Drosophila melanogaster: one gene and its partners. The protein of the gene in region 1 binds, or shares a complex with, the protein of each later gene. Each region holds a gene or a part of one and is shown on either strand. Other genes may lie near its edges.

The links.
Region 2: eIF3e (region 1) and eIF3a share a complex: the UniProt entries of both Drosophila melanogaster proteins name them as parts of the eukaryotic translation initiation factor 3 (eIF-3) complex.
Region 3: eIF3e (region 1) and eIF3h share a complex: the UniProt entries of both Drosophila melanogaster proteins name them as parts of the eukaryotic translation initiation factor 3 (eIF-3) complex.
Region 4: eIF3e (region 1) and eIF3g1 share a complex: the UniProt entries of both Drosophila melanogaster proteins name them as parts of the eukaryotic translation initiation factor 3 (eIF-3) complex.

The regions. Positions count from the first base shown.
Region 1 is NT_037436.4:16,784,685-16,788,732, reverse strand, and holds eIF3e (eukaryotic translation initiation factor 3 subunit e), read left to right. Parts: upstream 1-1,791; 5' UTR 1,792-1,899; coding exon 1,900-1,989; intron 1,990-2,083; coding exon 2,084-2,476; intron 2,477-2,562; coding exon 2,563-3,387; 3' UTR 3,388-3,491; downstream 3,492-4,048. Other genes in the region: CG9674 (uncharacterized protein), read left to right, coding at 1-71, 190-323; CG9706 (uncharacterized protein), read right to left, coding at 3,682-3,855, 4,021-4,048. UniProt on the Drosophila melanogaster protein: Component of the eukaryotic translation initiation factor 3 (eIF-3) complex, which is involved in protein synthesis of a specialized repertoire of mRNAs and, together with other initiation factors, stimulates binding of mRNA and methionyl-tRNAi to the 40S ribosome.
Region 2 is NT_033777.3:4,429,294-4,435,569, forward strand, and holds eIF3a (eukaryotic translation initiation factor 3 subunit a), read right to left. Parts: upstream 4,603-6,276; 5' UTR 4,455-4,602; coding exon 4,406-4,454; intron 4,309-4,405; coding exon 3,224-4,308; intron 3,174-3,223; coding exon 935-3,173; intron 876-934; coding exon 826-875; 3' UTR 505-825; downstream 1-504. Other genes in the region: CG1074 (uncharacterized protein), read left to right, coding at 4,768-4,893, 5,362-6,157, 6,214-6,276. UniProt on the Drosophila melanogaster protein: RNA-binding component of the eukaryotic translation initiation factor 3 (eIF-3) complex, which is involved in protein synthesis of a specialized repertoire of mRNAs and, together with other initiation factors, stimulates binding of mRNA and methionyl-tRNAi to the 40S ribosome.
Region 3 is NT_033779.5:5,050,648-5,055,018, reverse strand, and holds eIF3h (eukaryotic translation initiation factor 3 subunit h), read left to right. Parts: upstream 1-1,935; 5' UTR 1,936-2,283; coding exon 2,284-2,364; intron 2,365-2,704; coding exon 2,705-3,382; intron 3,383-3,448; coding exon 3,449-3,706; 3' UTR 3,707-3,826; downstream 3,827-4,371. Other genes in the region: CG14036 (uncharacterized protein), read left to right, coding at 67-348; senju, read right to left, coding at 641-1,604, 1,663-1,780, 1,851-1,935; CG9121 (uncharacterized protein), read left to right, coding at 4,142-4,361. UniProt on the Drosophila melanogaster protein: Component of the eukaryotic translation initiation factor 3 (eIF-3) complex, which is involved in protein synthesis of a specialized repertoire of mRNAs and, together with other initiation factors, stimulates binding of mRNA and methionyl-tRNAi to the 40S ribosome.
Region 4 is NC_004354.4:2,608,711-2,612,123, reverse strand, and holds eIF3g1 (eukaryotic translation initiation factor 3 subunit g1), read left to right. Parts: upstream 1-1,787; 5' UTR 1,788-1,878; intron 1,879-1,941; coding exon 1,942-2,751; 3' UTR 2,752-2,877; downstream 2,878-3,413. UniProt on the Drosophila melanogaster protein: RNA-binding component of the eukaryotic translation initiation factor 3 (eIF-3) complex, which is involved in protein synthesis of a specialized repertoire of mRNAs and, together with other initiation factors, stimulates binding of mRNA and methionyl-tRNAi to the 40S ribosome.

The DNA of each region.
Region 1 (4,048 bases):
CCCGCGCGGCAACATCAAGGCATCCAACGGACAGTATGGCACCTCGAACTCCAAGGTCTTTGCGGCAGGAGGTCAGTTTTATGTCTACTAAGTAATAGGCTTAGTATTAAGAGTTAATCACATCAATCATTGAATGATTTCTGTATCTTTGCATAACAAAAATGTTAATTTATCTTCTGTCCTTTGCAGATTGCCGGCGTGGCCAGTCGCTGGTCGTCTGGGCCATTACCGAGGGTCGCCAGGCCGCACGACAGGTCGATTCCTATCTGACCGGCCGTCCCAGTGGGCTTCCAGGACCTGGTGGCGTCATCGCGACATCCTAAAGAGGATCCACAGAGGCAGCCAGAGCAGCTAATATCAAGTTTTGTGTGCGTGCATCGTCCTTAGCCTATAGTGCGAAATTCTTTAACGATTTGTGATTTTTATTTTCGCGATTTTAGTTTAGTTTACACTAAAAAGACTTGAGTTTTTTACACACCAAACCAAAACGAAACACGTTTCATTTAGTTTTATTTTGATCGCAAAGCTGGCTGGGAATTGTTAGTGGTTCGTCGAGATGCCCTCCATATGATGATGATGATGATGATGATGATGCGGCAGGAGTCAATTAAGAGTGCAAACTGAAATTCTGATTGAAGCCAATCAATATGTATATCTTAACGGAAATCGAATATCCAACAAAAAATCTAAGGACAATAACTAGAAACTTACCGTTATCGTTAAAATGAAAATTAATTGAACATTAAATATTTAGAAAATGCATTTTTTCAATGTTGTTTTAGCTTGAGTTGCCTAATCTATGCAAACGAAATATATGAAGTGAAAATTGATATGCTGATCTCCACCATCCTATATACAATCCATAAATCGTATATACAGAAAGAGAAATGTATTAAACTCGGCCAATATCGAAACGCATTTTTTAGATGTTGTTTTTGTGTTTTGAACTGCATTCGACCGTTGACCGCAAATGTACCTAAGTGGCTATTGTTAAAACAAATCTGCTCTTTGGCAGTTGAATGTGCGAATACAAAGAATTACACAATTTATACAAAACATATTTAACCCAAATGTATACCCTTATACAGACATCTCTATATAAATATATTTATGTGCAAGTATTTGATGAAATAAATATTCAAATTATTAAAAAGCATTTCTCCGATGAGTTGATATTTGTGTTTTGAATTTGGCATGGGAAATATATTTATTAATAGCTTGAAAAGAGAGGCAACGTCTTTTTGAAATTAAAAACCTTTGTTATATGTATACCTTGTAATTTAAAATTATTGGTATTTTACGTAAAGCGTATAACTTTAAAGGAATGAGAAACCATTGTAATGTAGAAAATATTTAATAATATTTCTTTAAATTCATTGTATGGTAACTTATGTAGTTACCGCTTTATTTAATTACTAAGTACAATATCTTGTTGTTTTATGCCGTAAGCTTGTTACGAGCGGAGCTGAAGTTCCAGTGTGTCCAGTCTGACGATAAGAAGACAGAAGATATCGTCCTCCAGGAAAGGTCTTGGCGTTAGTACCTCTTTTCGCCGTGATGCCAGACCGGGTTTCAGTCTGGGCGCCACAATTGAAATAATAATTTTTTATTGCTATAATAGCCATGCTAAGATAATAGAAATTTTGAAAATTGAGTATTTTTTGAAAGTTGTTTCAATGACTTAATTTTATTTTAAATAAATGCGCCACTTTGAAAGCTTGAAAAAAATACGGCTTCAGGGTCATGGTATTTAATGTCGTGGAAATACCACACTCTGGTAACTCTGAGCGGGCGTCACTCTTTTCGTCTCTGGGCACACTGTCGGCCCTCGCACGCGTATTTTTCTGCCGATTTTGCGTGTAAATTTAATTGTGAAAACATAGTAAAACAGCTGCAATCATGGCCAATTTCGATCTGACACGCATCAATTGCCAGTTTTTGGACAGGCATTTGACCTTCCCGCTGCTGGAGTTCTTGTGCGGCAAGGAGGTTAGAAAAGCGACCAGGCGGTGCTCCGCTGGCGGTTGCCGAGTCACCAGTACATAACTATGGGAAATCTTCATATGTGTGACTTTCGTTGCAGATCTACAACCAGCAGGAGCTGCTGGAGTACATTTTGGAGACGGTGAACAAGACGAACATGATCGATTACACGATGGACACCCGCAAGCGTCTCAATCTCAGCCAGGAGATGCCCGAGGAGCTCGTGCAGCGCAAGGCGGAGGTCCTGGCCACGCTTAAGCAGCTGCAGAACGAGGTGGCACCCATCATGAAGGCCACCGACATTCTTAAGAACGGTGAGAGCATGAAGGACTCGAAGACCTTCGTCAACGCCCTTCAGAAGGACTACAATTTTAAGGTGGAGCACCTGGAGAGCGCCTACAAGCTGGCCAAGTACCTCTACGAGTGCGGCAACTATCAGGAGTCCACCTCTTACCTGTACTTCTGCCTCATCGTCATGTCGCCCAACGACAAGGTGCGTATGGAGCTAAATTAACATGAAAAGCGGCAAAAACCACTAAAACAAGAATATTAATTGATATTGTCTCCCAAATTTTGCAGAACTACCTTAATGTGCTGTGGGGCAAGCTGGCCGCCGAGATTCTGACCCTCAACTGGAACACTGCTCTGGAGGATCTGACGCGTTTGCGCGACTACATTGACAACGCCAACTTCAGCACCATCCAGGCCCTGCAGCAACGCACCTGGCTGATCCACTGGTCGGTCCTGGTCTTCTTCAATCACCCCAAGGGACGCGATCTCATTATTGAGATGTTCCTGTACAAGCCCCTGTATTTGAACGCCATTCAGACAATGTGTCCGCACATCATGCGTTACTTGGCCACCGCCGTAGTCATCAACCGCACCCGCCGCAATGCTCTAAAGGATTTGATCAAGGTGATCCAACAGGAGTCGTACACGTACCGCGATCCCATCACCGAGTTTCTGGAGTGTCTGTACGTGAACTTTGATTTCGAGGGAGCGCGTCTGAAGCTGCACGAGTGCCAGACGGTGATCCTCAACGACTTCTTCATCGTGGCCTGCCTGAATGAGTTCGTGGAGGATGCCCGCTTGATGATCTTCGAGACATTCTGCCGCATCCACCAGTGCATCACCATCAGCATGCTGGCCGATAAGCTGAACATGAAGCCCAACGAGGCTGAGTGCTGGATCGTCAACCTTATCCGCAATGCCCGTCTGAATGCCAAGATCGATTCGAAACTGGGTCATGTGGTGATGGGCACCCAGCCCTTGAGTCCCTATCAGCAGCTGGTGGAGAAGATCGACTCGCTGTCCATGCGGTCGGAGCATTTGGCAGGTTTGATTGAGCGCAAGAGCAAGCAGAAGCAGAATCAGGAGTCGGCCGACTCCTGGAAGTACTACTAGTTGCTGACTTTTTATCCACAATTAAGTTAAGACTCTTTGTACCCTTTAAAAACCGATGATTGCGCGCAGTCGAGCGAATAAATTAACATCTTACTCATTCGCTCAATTCAACATTTGATTTTATTTCCTTCGGAATCAAAATTAGTTATACAAAAAACAATACCAAGGCGGGAATTTGTAATTTCGCTAGCCTACAGAATGCAAACGTCTGCTAATCCTAGAATTAGTTGTTTGTACCTACAAGTGGGTGCTGGATCTTTATGACGATCTGGCCCCGGATCACACTATTGATTGCTACCGCGATTTCTGCTTGACCACCAACCAGGATCTGACGGGCAGGTCCTGCAAGTAAACGATCCATTTGCGCACCAGCAGCAGCCACACTATGCCGTACAGAACGCAAATGCCCGACTCCAAGTAGTACCCATCGAAGGTTATCTCGCACTTGCCAGCCGACGCTTCACAGCTCTGCGGGAGAAAATTAAGAAAAATATTTGTTTAGTTACTTTTATCTCATAACTGGCAAAGTTTATCTTTTCCTGGTTTGGGGTAAAACTTTCACCATACATATGTATCCATATACAATAATAATAATAATCTTGTATGCTGTAGAATCTCTCTCTGAGCACTCACCTGTTGCTCCTCCTTGCCCTGGCAGGTA
Region 2 (6,276 bases), on another chromosome or scaffold:
TTCACGTGGACCGAGATTCGCGGCAGCGGCACAGACAGTGTGACCAGGGGCGCGCACCGCGGAGGATCCGCGAGGCCATGGCATTAGTGCCAAGTTCGCAAGAAAATACTAGTTGAGTGTGCGAAGAAGGCGCGGGCTCATATTATCGAGGCAAATTTTCAGAGGCAGAATATTTTTGTTTTGCTTGCTATAAAAGCTTTTCTAAATTTACTCGAATTTATTCCCAACGAATATGGTTTTACCTAAGAAAGATGTCACTTTTTTAAAATAAGTCAAGCGTATGTGATAATACAATTTACAATACTTTTGAATGCATTTTTTATTTATGGGCAATTAAAAAACCTAATGTTAAAAAGCCACGCTTCCAAGAACGAACTTTGTAAAACTATAGAAGAACCCGCATTTGTTTAGTTTGCAAACTACATTTTAATGTAGTTTTAGCTCTGTCGAAATATAAATTTAAAGGGACTGGTTTATAAATCACTGTACGTATAAGGGAAGCTTGGTTCATCCTGAAATCTGATAAATAAGAATTAGAATTTTTGAATTAAACCAATAATAACCACTTTTCATTTCTTTGATTCCCAAGGTTCTCATTCGACAATTTCACTTTTCAATTTTTTAGAACATAGTTATTTTATTCGAAAGTACTTTAATTAGTATCGGTCCTACAACCATCTCAATTTTAACTATCTGGCACAAGCTTTGGATAGATAGATATAATATACCGGCCGACTGAGCTCTACACCAATAAAGTACAAGTCGGATGAAATAAAAACTTATTAAGAATATTATGCTGGGTATATACGATGATGAAAATAAAAATTAACGACGCTTAACGCTGGTCCACTCGCCATCATCGCCAGCTTTGTTCTCTGAAAGATGTAACGCATTGATAAGAATGGAAATTAGGTTTGCTGCTGAGATTACTTACCCTTTTCCTGGGCTTGATCGCGCTTAGCTGCTGGTTTTTCCTCACGGGTCGCAGGAGCAGTACGCCAGTTTCCGCCTACTCCGCCACTGGCTGCCTCCTTAGGAGCAGAGCCGCGTTGATCGCCACGAGTCTCGCGCACATCTCGGTCGCGCCTCTCAGCTGGGCGACGGGTTTCCCGATCAGCGTGGCGTGGAGCGTCGCGCCAGTTCCCTCCAGTTTCCCGCTGAGGCTCGTCGGTACGACGCGCCCCGTCGGCGCGGCGGAATCCACCGCGCTCATCGTCACGATCCCGGCGAGGACCATCGTCACGGTCACGCCGAGGCCCATCATCCCTGTCGCGACGAGCCCCATCAATGCGGAAATCGCGGTCACGTTCTCCGCCACGCCGCCACTTGTCATCGCGCGATTGCGGAGCGCCACTGTCTTTGGGAGCAGCTGCACGCTGTGAATCTGGCTCTCGTCGCACACGCCAAGAGGAGTCCGCTCCCTCGTTGTCCTTGCGGTCACGGTCACCGCCTCGTTCAATGCGCTCTCCACCACGCTCGAGGCGTTCTCCACCGCGCTCGATCCGTTCTCCTCCGCGCTCGATACGCTCGCCACCACGGTCGTTGCGTTCACTGGCCGCAGGTGCAGCACGACGCCACTCGCTGGATCCGCCGTTAGATGCGCTTGGACGGTCACCGCCTCGAGGACGCCATGTGTCACGGTCCTTTTCAGTGCGTTCGCGCTCCGAGGCCAACTCCCTGGACAGGCGGTCTCGATCTTCCTTGATTTTACGCTCAGCTTCCTCCTCCTTGGCACGCTGCTTTTCGTATTGGGCACGACGCTTTTCGTCCTCAGCCTCACGCTCCAAACGGCGGGCTTCTGCTGCGGCGCGCTCTTCGGCAGCCTGTGCCAAGCGAATCTCTTCCTCCTTGCGAAGACGCTCCTCCTCTTTCTCGCGAAGGAAGGCCTGTCGGCGCTCCTCGCGGCGTCGAATAATGCGGTCGGCTAAGCGCTTTTTGCGCTCTGCCTCCAGAGCAGCCTCAAACTTTTTGAGCTTTTCGACGTAGAGGGAGGCACGTTCTTTTTTAAGGGCCTCAAGGAATTCATCCCGGTCCGGATACATGCGCTTGAGACGCTCCTGCTGGGCGACGGCATCCTTCCGTTCGGCAATGGCATTCTCGATGCGTGTCTTCTCGGTTGCTTCCCAGAACTCCTTGTCCTTAACCTGCTTTTCGGCCAAGTATTTTTCGAAAAGCGGTATCTCCTCCAGGCGCTTGGCGCGTTCGAAGTAGTCGATTTTCTTCTCTTGCGATTTGAGTTTCGACTGCAGTTCCTTGGCCTCGCGCTGAAGTTCCTCGCTTTCCCGCTTGGCGATCTGCTCGGCGTCCAACTTCTTAATGCCTTCCTCATCCAGCTTGGAAAGCATCTTCTTACCATGAGCCGTCTGCGAGATTTGCTGAACCTTCTCCTTGAGACTCTTCTCCCGGATGGCTTGGATTTCGTTCTGATGGCGCTTGCGCTCTCTTTCTTCTTGCTCCTGCTCGAGGCGCTTCTGTTCGGCCAGTTTGGCCTTCCGCGATTCCTCCTCCTGACGCCGCGCCTCTTCCTCTTCACGAGCATTATTCTGCTTCTCGATGTACTCCTTTCTGTCCTCGATGATCTTCTGTCGCTGAAGAATACGCTGGTGCTCGCGATCCTTGATCTCATGGTAATGGTTTACCATCTGGTTGCGGAGCTTGGCCCGCTGGTCACGTTCACGGTTCGGGTAGACGATTGAAACTGCCCGTGTCAGAACAGTAGACATATTAACCAACTGAGAGCGGATCTGTTCCGAGGGCATCGATTGCAAAGCGGGTCCGTCGGGGCGGTACTCGCGTTGACTCTCGGTCAGATCAGTGCCGAAATAGATACTGTTCTTCTGGTGGTCAATACGAATCTGCATGTCATTGTGACGCACGGACTCGACCAGCAGTTTTTCCAATTCAAAAATGTTGCAAAAACTGGCCAGCTGCAAGAGACGCTGGAACTTAATACTCTCATAAACCTGAGAGATCTGACGAATCAGACGCATTATAGTCACGTCCTTCAGCGATTGAATGTAAGGAGTGAGCAGAGCGTTTTCGGGCCCGTTCTCAATGAAGTCCACGATAGACTGAATGCGCTTGCACAGATTCAGTGGGTTGAAATCCACCTCCAACCAGTTGTATAGATTGCGAAAGTCCTCAGATACGAGTTGAGGAACATTCAAGCGCACCTGTGTTTATGAATTAGTCATAAGTCATTACTATATTGCGTGATACTTACCACTTCACGAATAAGGGAGACGCGAGTAGGTGGCTGGGGCAGGCCCAAAAGCACGGCCAACTTCTGCGCCTTCTCCAGGGGGCTCTTGTCCGCCTCAATAAACCTGTCGAACTCTGGATGGGCCGAAGGCAACGGAATAGAAAGAGTGGCCAGGAGAACGTGGGCAGCCATACGCTGCAAGTCGTCCTTCGTCAGGTTCTTCTTCAGCTCGCGCGTCAGCTGGAAGAGCTTCAGCAGCGCTGCAGCGTGGAACAACTGGTTGCCGGCCTTGCTAAAGACCATGGCTAATTTTTGGTAGTAGTTGGCCATGGTTTTGGGCACGGGTGTCTTCTTGGACAGAGCCATCAGGCCATGGATATCCTCGATTGCCTTGTAGGCCTCTTGCCACAGCTCCATCTGGATGGCCGAGTCAAGAAGGTACAACCTGGTGTCCAAGCAGAGCTGCTGCGTTTCCACCTTGTTGATCGAGACACCGGTGGTCTGGTTGCTGCTCTTGCAAATGTCCTCCAAGTGTTTGCGCAGCTTGTCGCACAAGCGGCGAAACTCGCTCTTGCGGTTGTACTTAAGGCAGAACTGGAAGGCCATGCGAGCGATATCGTGGTACAGCGCCTCGCAATGCGTGTTTACGCGCAGCAGCTCTAGACACTGGCAGTAGGACTCCCACAGGAACTTGACCCACGGGAGCAGAATAGTGCGGTCGGAGCGGTCCTGTGCGTCCTCGCCACACACTGCGCTCATTAGGATGCTCTCTGGCGTGGCAATGTTGTCCAGGTCATCCAGCTCCAGAACAGCAACGGCCGCCGAGGACTGGGCTTGGGCAGCCTCTGTGTGCTCTTCGGCCATTTTCAGGTAGCCGCGGATTACATTTTCCAGAGAGTTCACGTTCACCAGCTGGAACATGTTCCGGTACTGGAATAGTCCCTCCTTGGCGATGTGCGACTTCTTGAGTTCCACGCAGAGGTACAGGTACTTGAACATGAGCGGTTCGATGACCGTCTCCGAGTAGGCATAGTTCCATCGCTTGTTCCGGAAAACTTCCTGCAGCGTGTCCAGCGCCCTAAGCGGCTTTCCCACTTCAATGAACTCTGTGACGAAGAGAGCGGCGTCGAGTTAAGAGAGCACACGATTCGCGAAGACGAAAGTTTCTCTTCAGACACCGCATGGAAAATTTTCAGCACTCACCATTAGCCCTTTTTAGGGCGTTTTCCGGACGTTGCGTATAGCGGGCCATTTCCGATCGCTTTACTTACTTGCGGCGGCACTTCAAGTTGATTTTGATAGCAGGTCTGGAGCGTTTTGAGACCTGGGGCTGCTGAAAATTGTATAAATCTTCGGCTCGCCTACGTGTGGCTGCAATATTAATGCAAAATGGCCGAGTCGACGGCACGCAGGGCTACACCTGGCTGCGTTATCGATAGTTCAGGCCGATAGTTGCCGATGGTCAGCTAATCGCAGTGCAACTCCGCTAGCTCACAGCAATAACACGAGGAGTAATGAAGTCGCTCTAGAATATAAATAAACAATTCATTAATTAAAATAGCGACATGGTCAACTGGAGGAAGTTTATCTTGTGGTTCGCCCAGGAGCATGTCGACTTTCGCGTGCAGGAGTTTGATTCGCTGGTCAAAATGTTTGGACTTCAGGTCCGGCGGCTTACAGAACACACCAGGGTAAAGTGTTTTAGTACCAGAATTTTGAAAACGCAAGATTAACAAATTCCACCTCCCCTATAACTTTTAAAACCTGTGGTTTAATGTTATATCCAAACTTGGAATTTTATTAATATGTTTAATATTTTTAACGTAAAAAAATTTTATATGTATTTGTAAGAGGAAGAAAATAGTAAACTATATTTTCAAAAGTGTTTTCAACAGGTAGAAATTTAGCATTACTAGCTATAAATTATATACGATCGTTGAGATCTCAGGAACTACAAAACCTAAAAGGTTTCGAAAGGATACCTGATACCTGGTATACATACATTACGAATACGATCCGCGTACCTGTTAGATGTTTTTAGTGTAGGATACTTTGATTACATTATTTTTAGAGCTTGCGACACATATATAAATACTTCTGTAGTATAGAAGCATCAGCATATATAGTTATATTTATATTTTTTAATTTCGGTATTACAGAAACCATTTTGGTTGGTCGAATTTCGGGACACGGATACTGCGTTGCTATATGCATCCAGGTCCGTTTCGTTGCGCGCCATGTTCGAGCTCTACGCCCACTCCAACAAATTACCCGAGTTTCACCAGAGGCTACGGAATCATGTTACCGCGAACTGGCATTCGCTTGCGGAATACTTTCGGGTGGATGCCAGTTTTAAGATCGTTGTGGAGACCTACAACAAGCACTTCAGCCAGAGGGAAAAGGTTGAGAAAATCGAGTCCATGGATTACCTGCCAATAGAGGGAACGGTCAATCTGGAGAAACCCGTGGTGGAGTGGTGGTACATCGAGTTTTGGGGCTTGGATCCAACGGCTGTGCCACCTGAGCCGGAGGACATTCTGTTTGGTCGGCTGATGGCCCATGGTCAGCGGCATTTGATCAAGGAGCTTTCGCTGAAGCATCGTAAGTTTATCGGTAACACCAGCATGGACGCCCAGCTGAGCCTGCTAATGGCCAACCAAGCGATGGTACGCAATGGGGATCTGGTATTTGATCCGTTTGTGGGAACGGGCTCGCTTTTGGTAAGCGCCGCCAAGTGGGGCGGGTATGTCCTGGGAGCGGACATAGACTACATGATGGTGCACGCCCGCTGCCGGCCGAGCCGGATAACCCAAAAAGTGCGGGAGAAGGACGAGAGCATTCGGGCCAACTTGAAGCAGTACGGCTGCGCTGATCGCTACATGGATGTGGTGGTGGCCGATTTCTCCAACCCGGTGTGGCATTCCCGCATCTCGTTCGACTGCATAATAACAGATCGTAGGTTTATTCTTTTTTATACCAAACTTAAAATGTTCATTCTTTGGTAATTTAAGCTCCCTATGGAATAAGAGAGGCCACGGAAAAGGTGGAGAAAAAGGCTAGCGTAAAGGCCAACA
Region 3 (4,371 bases), on another chromosome or scaffold:
AAACATAGCGGTACCTTAAGCTTTATGAATTTGTTGTTTTGACAAACGGCTCTTGACTTTTTCAAAATGTCCGATTTCGAGTACGGAATTTGCCCTTACGACAAATCGCACCGCATCTTGCTCTTCCGGATGCCCAAGCACTTAATTAAGTGCGAGAAGAACTACTGTGGACCGCCGCTGCAGACCTGCAAGTACAACGCCACACACCGAGTCCAGGACATGGAGAAGCATCTGAAGGAGTGTGACTACTATCTCCGCAGCATCGAAAACCAGGCGGTGCAGATAGCGCTTCGTAGTCGCATACCGCCCAAACAGGAAGATGGACATGATGTGGACACACCATTTTAGGCTAAGACAAGCAGGCATCCAAATATACCATGTACATATGTGATAGTATATGAACCATAAAATAAAAAGCTTCTTGAAGAAGCATGCACAATATTCGTTTGATTGCATTTATGTTCTGATTAAAATAAGAATCTTAAACTAGAGGAGCAAAAGTTTTGGTATTTACAAGCCTGTTGCTATTGCATTGCACAAAGCCTGGGGTCAAATACATTCGTCTGGCGTTTAAAACATTTGCAGGCACTTTTCCACAACTATTTACAGTCTAAGATTACGTCTAGGACAAGCTACAGCATTACACCATATCGAGGTCCGATTCTGCCGCTTCCTCGTCGATCAGCTTTCGTTTATCCGTTGATTTGGTCGTGGCATCACTTAAATTGGACAGCGGACGCACCTTGCCCAAATTAACCACCGGGCTTTGGGTGTAGAGATAGATGGCGTAGGATACAACCGCGATGGCCAGCGCGGTGTTCATGTAAATGGGTATGGAGAAGAGGAAGTAGCATAGGACTGCCGTGAAGAGCAACTCCAGAGCGCTCGCGAAGGTCTTTAGAATGGAGTTCATGTACTTGAGGAAGAAACTCGTGACAATGCCAATAGCCGCATTGTTAACAATAATGATTAGCACGCTAAAGCGCATAATACTGCCCAGATTCTGCGGACTAAAGGCATCAAGGAGCTCGCCGCGCAGCAAGAGGATGACTGCATTGCAGACAATCGAGTCCAGGTACATGAAGACATTCTGTACAAAGATATTCACATCGGCTCCCTTATCTTTAAGCAGATACTCATTGTAAACGCCCGCCAGACAAGAGCAAATTGTCTGTGCCAGAATGAAGACGGCACTCAGGCTAAAATCGAAGCCGGACATGTTCTTGCCGTGAGCGTGCGTCTCTGCAGAAGTTGTTTTATTATGTGATTGCAGCTGCTGCTGTATGGCTGCGGACTCGCTGTCATCATTCGCATCGCTGTAGAAGCTGCCGAAATCGACCTGCTTCATCATACAGCCGAGTGTCAGCAGTATGAGGGAGATCCATTGCCTTTGCGACAGGTACTTCTTGAAGATAATTTGGAATAGTATGCCCGTGACAACGACACGTAGCTGCAGTAGCAGATAGTAGGTGGTGGGATCGAATGTGGCCAAGTTGACAAAGGCCAAATTGTTGTACAGGCAGTAGAGAAAGGCGGGCACCATGTACAAGCCCAATACATTCCGATCCTTCTGAACATCGCGCACCAGGGAGCGTAGGTTGTTGCTGTGAATGAAATCGCGGTTTAATAGCGAGACAAAGGAGCGCCTCCACTCCTACTCACTCTCGGCAATACAGACAGGTGGAGACTATCAATTTAAAGACCTCGGTTAGCAGCACAACCGTGACGGTATTGTAGCCATAGGAGTTATTCGATTCCTGAGATGCTGTGACAAAGATGCCTGCAAAATAGACAGGAATTAGGGTGCGGCTTTGGCTTGCGTAAAAAGCCTTAATAAGGCAGCTGCATACCCTGTCCTATGAATAGGGACATGTACAACAGGAAGATCACAAATGTGAGCTTGGTGGGGAACAATTCACGCCAATTAGTTGACATTTCTGCGGTCTTCGTACTGCCAGCGTTGCGTTGCTAATGCGAAGAGAACTAAGACTAGCTACAAGTTGCGGCAACCGCAGTTATCAGTACCGTTCCGCTCGTTCGTGACAAGTGGGCCGTTTCTCGGTTTTCTAGGAAGTACAATTTTGAGTTTGTTTCTGTTGCTTTTCCACTGATAAACAAAATATATTTTGGGCCTTTTTTTATCGCTCGCCCGAACAGCTGATTTTAAAGCAGTGCACGCTTTTCAACACTTCAACCCACACAAAAATTGTGGTGTTGCGAAACGCCCTTTTACCACTGCAGCCGAGTTCACGTCGTGGGTCTTTTCGCTTACAATTCGTCAACATGGCAAATCGCGCAAATCGTCATGCTGCTCGCACCGAGGATTCGGATAATACCATTAACTACGTCCAATGCGACGGACTGGTGAGTAGTGCTGTTGGCCAAAAGACCTGGCCGAGATTGGCCCGTGGGAACCGGCGCGAAAGCCGGAAAAGTTAATGCCACGCGCTGTCTCAGAAATTTGCGTGCTTTGTGTGTGTTTGTATGGGTGTTCGTGAGGACATGGGCGTAGAGCTATAAGGAAAAGGGGGCCGGTCTCTTCATTACCATAGCACAAAAAACTTCAGTCAAATGTTTTCTTCAGAGAAACTATTAAAAGAAAGTCCGAAATATATCTACTTTCCACGCCCCTGTTCAAATGCAAATAGTTGTCTGTCGCTAATTGATTTTGGAACATAATTACTACGATCACTTTACCTTGCAGGCCGTCATGAAGATGGTGAAGCACTGCCATGAGGAGTCGAGCAACATGGACCTCGCCCAGGGCGCCCTGCTCGGTCTGGTGGTAGACAAGTGCCTGGAGATCACCAACTGCTTCCCGTTTCCCAAGAGCGGCGATGAGACCATGGACGAGGAGATGTACCAGCTGACCGTGATGCGTCGCCTGCGTCGCGTCAACGTAGATCATCTCCATGTGGGCTGGTACCAGAGCTCCGACGTGGGCAACAGCCTGTCAATGGCTCTGTTGGAATCGCAGTACCACTACCAGACCAGCATTGAAGAGTCCGTCGTTGTCGTCTACGATACGCAGAAGTCATCCCGCGGATTCCTGTGCTTGAAGGCCTACCGCCTTACTCCGCAGGCCATTCAGATGTACAAGGATGGCGACTTCACTCCAGAGGCATTCCGCACCCTGAAGGTCGGCTACGAGAACCTCTTCGCCGAGATTCCCATTGTGATCAAGAACTCGCCGCTGACCAACATTATGATGAGCGAGCTGAACGAGCTGCTGCCCGAGGACAAGGGGCACAACTTCCTGGACCTGGGCACCGCCACCGTATTGGAGAACCAAATGCGTAGCCTGATCGAGCGCGTCGACGAGTTGTACCAGGAGGCAGTGCGCTATAACAAGTACCAGCAGGTGGTCTTCAAGCAGGATACGGTACGTAGCAATATAATTAAATATGTAAAAATTCCTAATCGCTTTCCTTGCATTTATATTTTTTAGGAGAAGCACCGTGCTCTGGCTAAGCTGGCCGCCGAGAACGCCGTTCGCACATCGAAGGGAGAGCCCACGGTGCCAGAGGAGGAAGTGATCAAACAGTTCCGCCCCATGACTGCGCCCAACCGCCTGACGGCCACCATAACCTCTGGCCAGATCAATACCCACGCCCAGCATATCGCACAATTCTGTTCGCAATCGCTGGCCAAACTCTTCATCACGGAATCGCTGCAAATTGCCAAGGAAGCAAAGGAAACCAAATAGATTAGCTAATGTTAAGCGTTTTTTAAGCTGAGGCAACAACATTCACTACCCACAAACATAGCAACTGCACACACAGACGTCGAAAATAAACCAAACAAGCGATGAGTGGGCTTGGAAGCGAACTGCCAGCTGATTTCTTCTTTATTGTACTCTCCATTTGCTCAATAGAATGGCCAATTCAAACCGCCCCAAAAAAAGAAAACCACCACCCGCTATGCAGCCAAAAATTGGTACTGCTTCTGCGCACGCCGGATGTTTGGTTTCACTTCTCGATGAGACTTTCCGGGGGAGTGTTGCTGCCACTGACGACATCGACGCACTTTTCACACCACCCCACAAGCAGCTGCTTATCATTTGGTTTGTTCTTTTCGCTTCGCCTTTTCGCTAACCAGCTTCAGTTAGCCTAACTAACTAAATTACTAACCCGATGGCAAAATGCTGTCCTACGACCTCAACGAACGCCTGCTAACCGCCGTACAGAGCGGAGATTTCGAGCAGGCTCTGGGCTGCATCATGCAAGGTGCCCAGGCCTCGTATGTATCGCCCACTTGCGGACGCACTGCCGTGGGCACGGCGGCCATTCTGGGCGATGCCGAACTGTTGGAGCTGCTGCTTCAATCCTGCGAGGAGCCCGAGCTGAATGTCTTTCATCAGTGTGAGTTTTC
Region 4 (3,413 bases), on another chromosome or scaffold:
GCTCACGGCGATTGATAAATTTTCCAAACTGGCCATGGGAAGAGTTATCAAATCCAAAGCTGTAGAAGACATTAGGAAAGCCCTAAGAGATATCGTGTTTTATTATGGAGTGCCTAAATTAATAGTAATGGACAATGAAAAGTCCCTCAACTCAGCCTCTATCAAATTCATGTTGACAGACCAGCTGGGTATTGAGCTCTACAAAGCACCTCCGTATAAGAGTACAGTAAATGGACAGATAGAAAGATTTCACTCCACACTCTCTGAAATAATGAGATGTTTGAAAGGAGATGGAACACATAGGGGCTTCGAGGAACTTCTCGATAGGGCCATCTATGAATATAACTACACTGTCCATTCTGTCACAAAAAAACGACCTCTAGAGGTGTTCTTCGGCAGGATAGCTACCGTAGCTCCAGAAAAATATGAACAAGCTAGACTGGACAATATAGACCGACTTAGGCAAAAACAGGAAACCGACATAGAATACCACAACCGGACAAGAAAGCCCATAAAAACCTATATCAAAGGGCAAGAAATTTTCGTTAGGGTTAATACAAGATTAGGTTCTAAGTTATCAAGTAGATTTAGGAAGGAACTAGTTAAGGAAGACCGAAGTACCACAATATTAACAGAATCAGGGAAATTAGTACATAAAAGTAACATAAGATCATGATTGCTTCAGAATAATTACTGTGGCCACATCGATAGACAAGTAGAACATAGAAACATTAAACATACTGATTAACGTAACCACGAGAATTAAATTTGAAACGATTCGACTTTGACAGACGAGTTGGCCATAGGTTTGCAGAATTAGATTGGGCTCGTGAAAGAAGAGATTGCGTTGTGAATGCGTTTCTGCGGAGCGAGTTTAAATTGAATGAGACCAGTAGCCTACTTGAAAACAATATACCGATTTCTGCCTTGACGGTCAAATAAATGTTAAAACTTTCACACGTTCTCGCTTTACACAACGGAACTACAATTTGAATGCCATTGAAATCTCCATATTGAATCAGTTAATTCCTTATTTCTTATATTTTAAAACATGATCAGTAAAGGAAACTAATAATAATAAATAAATAATAATTTAATTTGAATAATAATAAAATTTACCAATTAAAGACGAAATGTACGGAATCAATGCCTTCTGCAAAGGTTCCAATGGTCTAAAAATATGTAGATATAAATTCATTAGTAATTTAGTAAAAACCAGAATTTTAATAGAAGCAATCAAGTTGTCAATGCAGAACACATCCGAGTTGCACAAACCTCGAACGCACGCAACAATAAACACCTGGCATTCAAACCATTAATGCTGTGCCCAAACTACCACGAATCACCCCACCAACGATGCGACTCAAAAACATCCCATCCTTATGATGACCGCTCGAGGACAAGCGTCAATTAAGAGGGGAGGAGTTATTGCCCTGCAATTGATTCTCTAACATCTTGTGGTTCCACATAGTCTCCGCTGCCATCAACGCCAACGAACGGTTAAGCGCGACATCGACACTTCTGCGCTGCGCCGCGGCCGACGCCTGCTGCGCCGCTGCCGACGACTTCACTTGATTGCTAGGGACTTAGGGAAACATTTTGTACGCTAGATTTAGTTTCAAATGATAAATTGCAATAAACGGTCGCTTGCGATCTTCAAAATCAAATCGATAACTTATTAACTTATATGTAACGAAATTTCAAATGGTATATTCCAAAAAGTGCAAAGTGGTATTAGCGGTATATTTTTTGGACACACACGGCATATTTTTGTGACCGCGGCAGGGTAACACTCTTTTGTTGCTGATTAAAAATCCGCTTAACTCGTGGCGAAATTTGCATTTACGATTTCGCATACAAATCGCGTTGAAAATCAGAGTGAGTGCACCCCAAGCAAGCGCCCAGTGTAGCCCCACTCACTGCGCCCTCAATTCCTTTCAGATGCCGGGCGTTGAAACGATCAAATCCTCCTGGGCGGACGAGGTGGAGCTCGACTATGGTGGACTACCTCCGACGACGGAGACGGTGGAGAACGGACAGAAGTACGTGACGGAGTACAAGTACAACAAGGACGACAAGAAGACGAAGGTGGTGCGCACGTACAAGATATCCAAGCAGGTGGTGCCCAAGACGGTGGCCAAGCGACGCACCTGGACGAAGTTCGGCGACTCGAAGAACGACAAGCCCGGCCCCAACTCGCAGACGACCATGGTGTCCGAGGAGATCATCATGCAGTTCCTCAACTCCAAGGAGGACGAGAAGGCCAACGATCCGCTGCTAGATCCCACCAAGAATATTGCCAAGTGCCGTATCTGCAACGGTGAGCATTGGTCGGTCAACTGCCCGTACAAGGGCACGGCGATGGACACGAATATGATGGAGAAGAAGGCTTCGGCAGCCGCCGCGGCCGCCGTCGATGCGCCCAAGTCCGGCAAGTATGTGCCGCCGTTCCTCAAGGACAGCCAAAAGGGCGCGCTGGGAATGCGCGGACGCGACGACACGGCCGCCATTAGGATATCGAATCTGTCGGAGTCGATGACCGAGGCGGATCTCGAGGAGCTGGTGAAGAAGATTGGACCGCAGAGCAAGATGTATCTCGCCCGCGACAAGAACACCGGACTCTGCAAGGGATTCGCCTACGTGCACTTCAAGCAGCGCAAGGATGCGGCCGCCGCCATCGAGATCCTCAATGGACACGGCTACGACCACTTGATCCTCAGCGTCGAATGGTCGAAACCCCAGAACAATTAGTTAGTCCCGTTCCCACTACCCGCGTTTACTGCTCATAGGAGTCCGTTCGAGTCGATCACACAATTTGTCCCTATGCTATGCTAAGTTTGCTACAAATAAATCTTAAAACAGCCCCCATGGGCACCGAAAACCAGATGACTATGCTCTGCAAGGATACAATGGCATCTAGAATCGTATATTTTTCATATTTGATATAACTTAATCGCTCTTCTTTAGTTTTGCGGACCAACCAACACAAATGCTTTCGACTTTTGCTCTAATATAGCTTTCTCCCTCGTTTTAAAGGACGCAAGGCCACCAAATCGTAGACACTGGGAACAACATATAAAAGAAATATTTTTTATTTGTTACTTAAAAAACTTGAATATGATTTGTTAAGTGTATTTTTTAACGACATGCAGCTACCCACATATGGTTAACAAGTTAACCTTACGCGGTGCCCACTGTAGAAAGCATGATTCCAGCCGATCTGGCAACGCCATCGTTTGCATGCGAATAAACACCATGGTGTTGTTGTTTTTGTGTTTGCCAGCGATTTGCGTAAATTGTGTTTGTTTTTGTGGCCAAAAATAGAAATCAGATGCCGCAAAATATTCAAAAAGCATTCGAAACAATATTTTTGATCTTCAGGTGTGCGCTCATTTTCAGTCGTCAGTGAGACG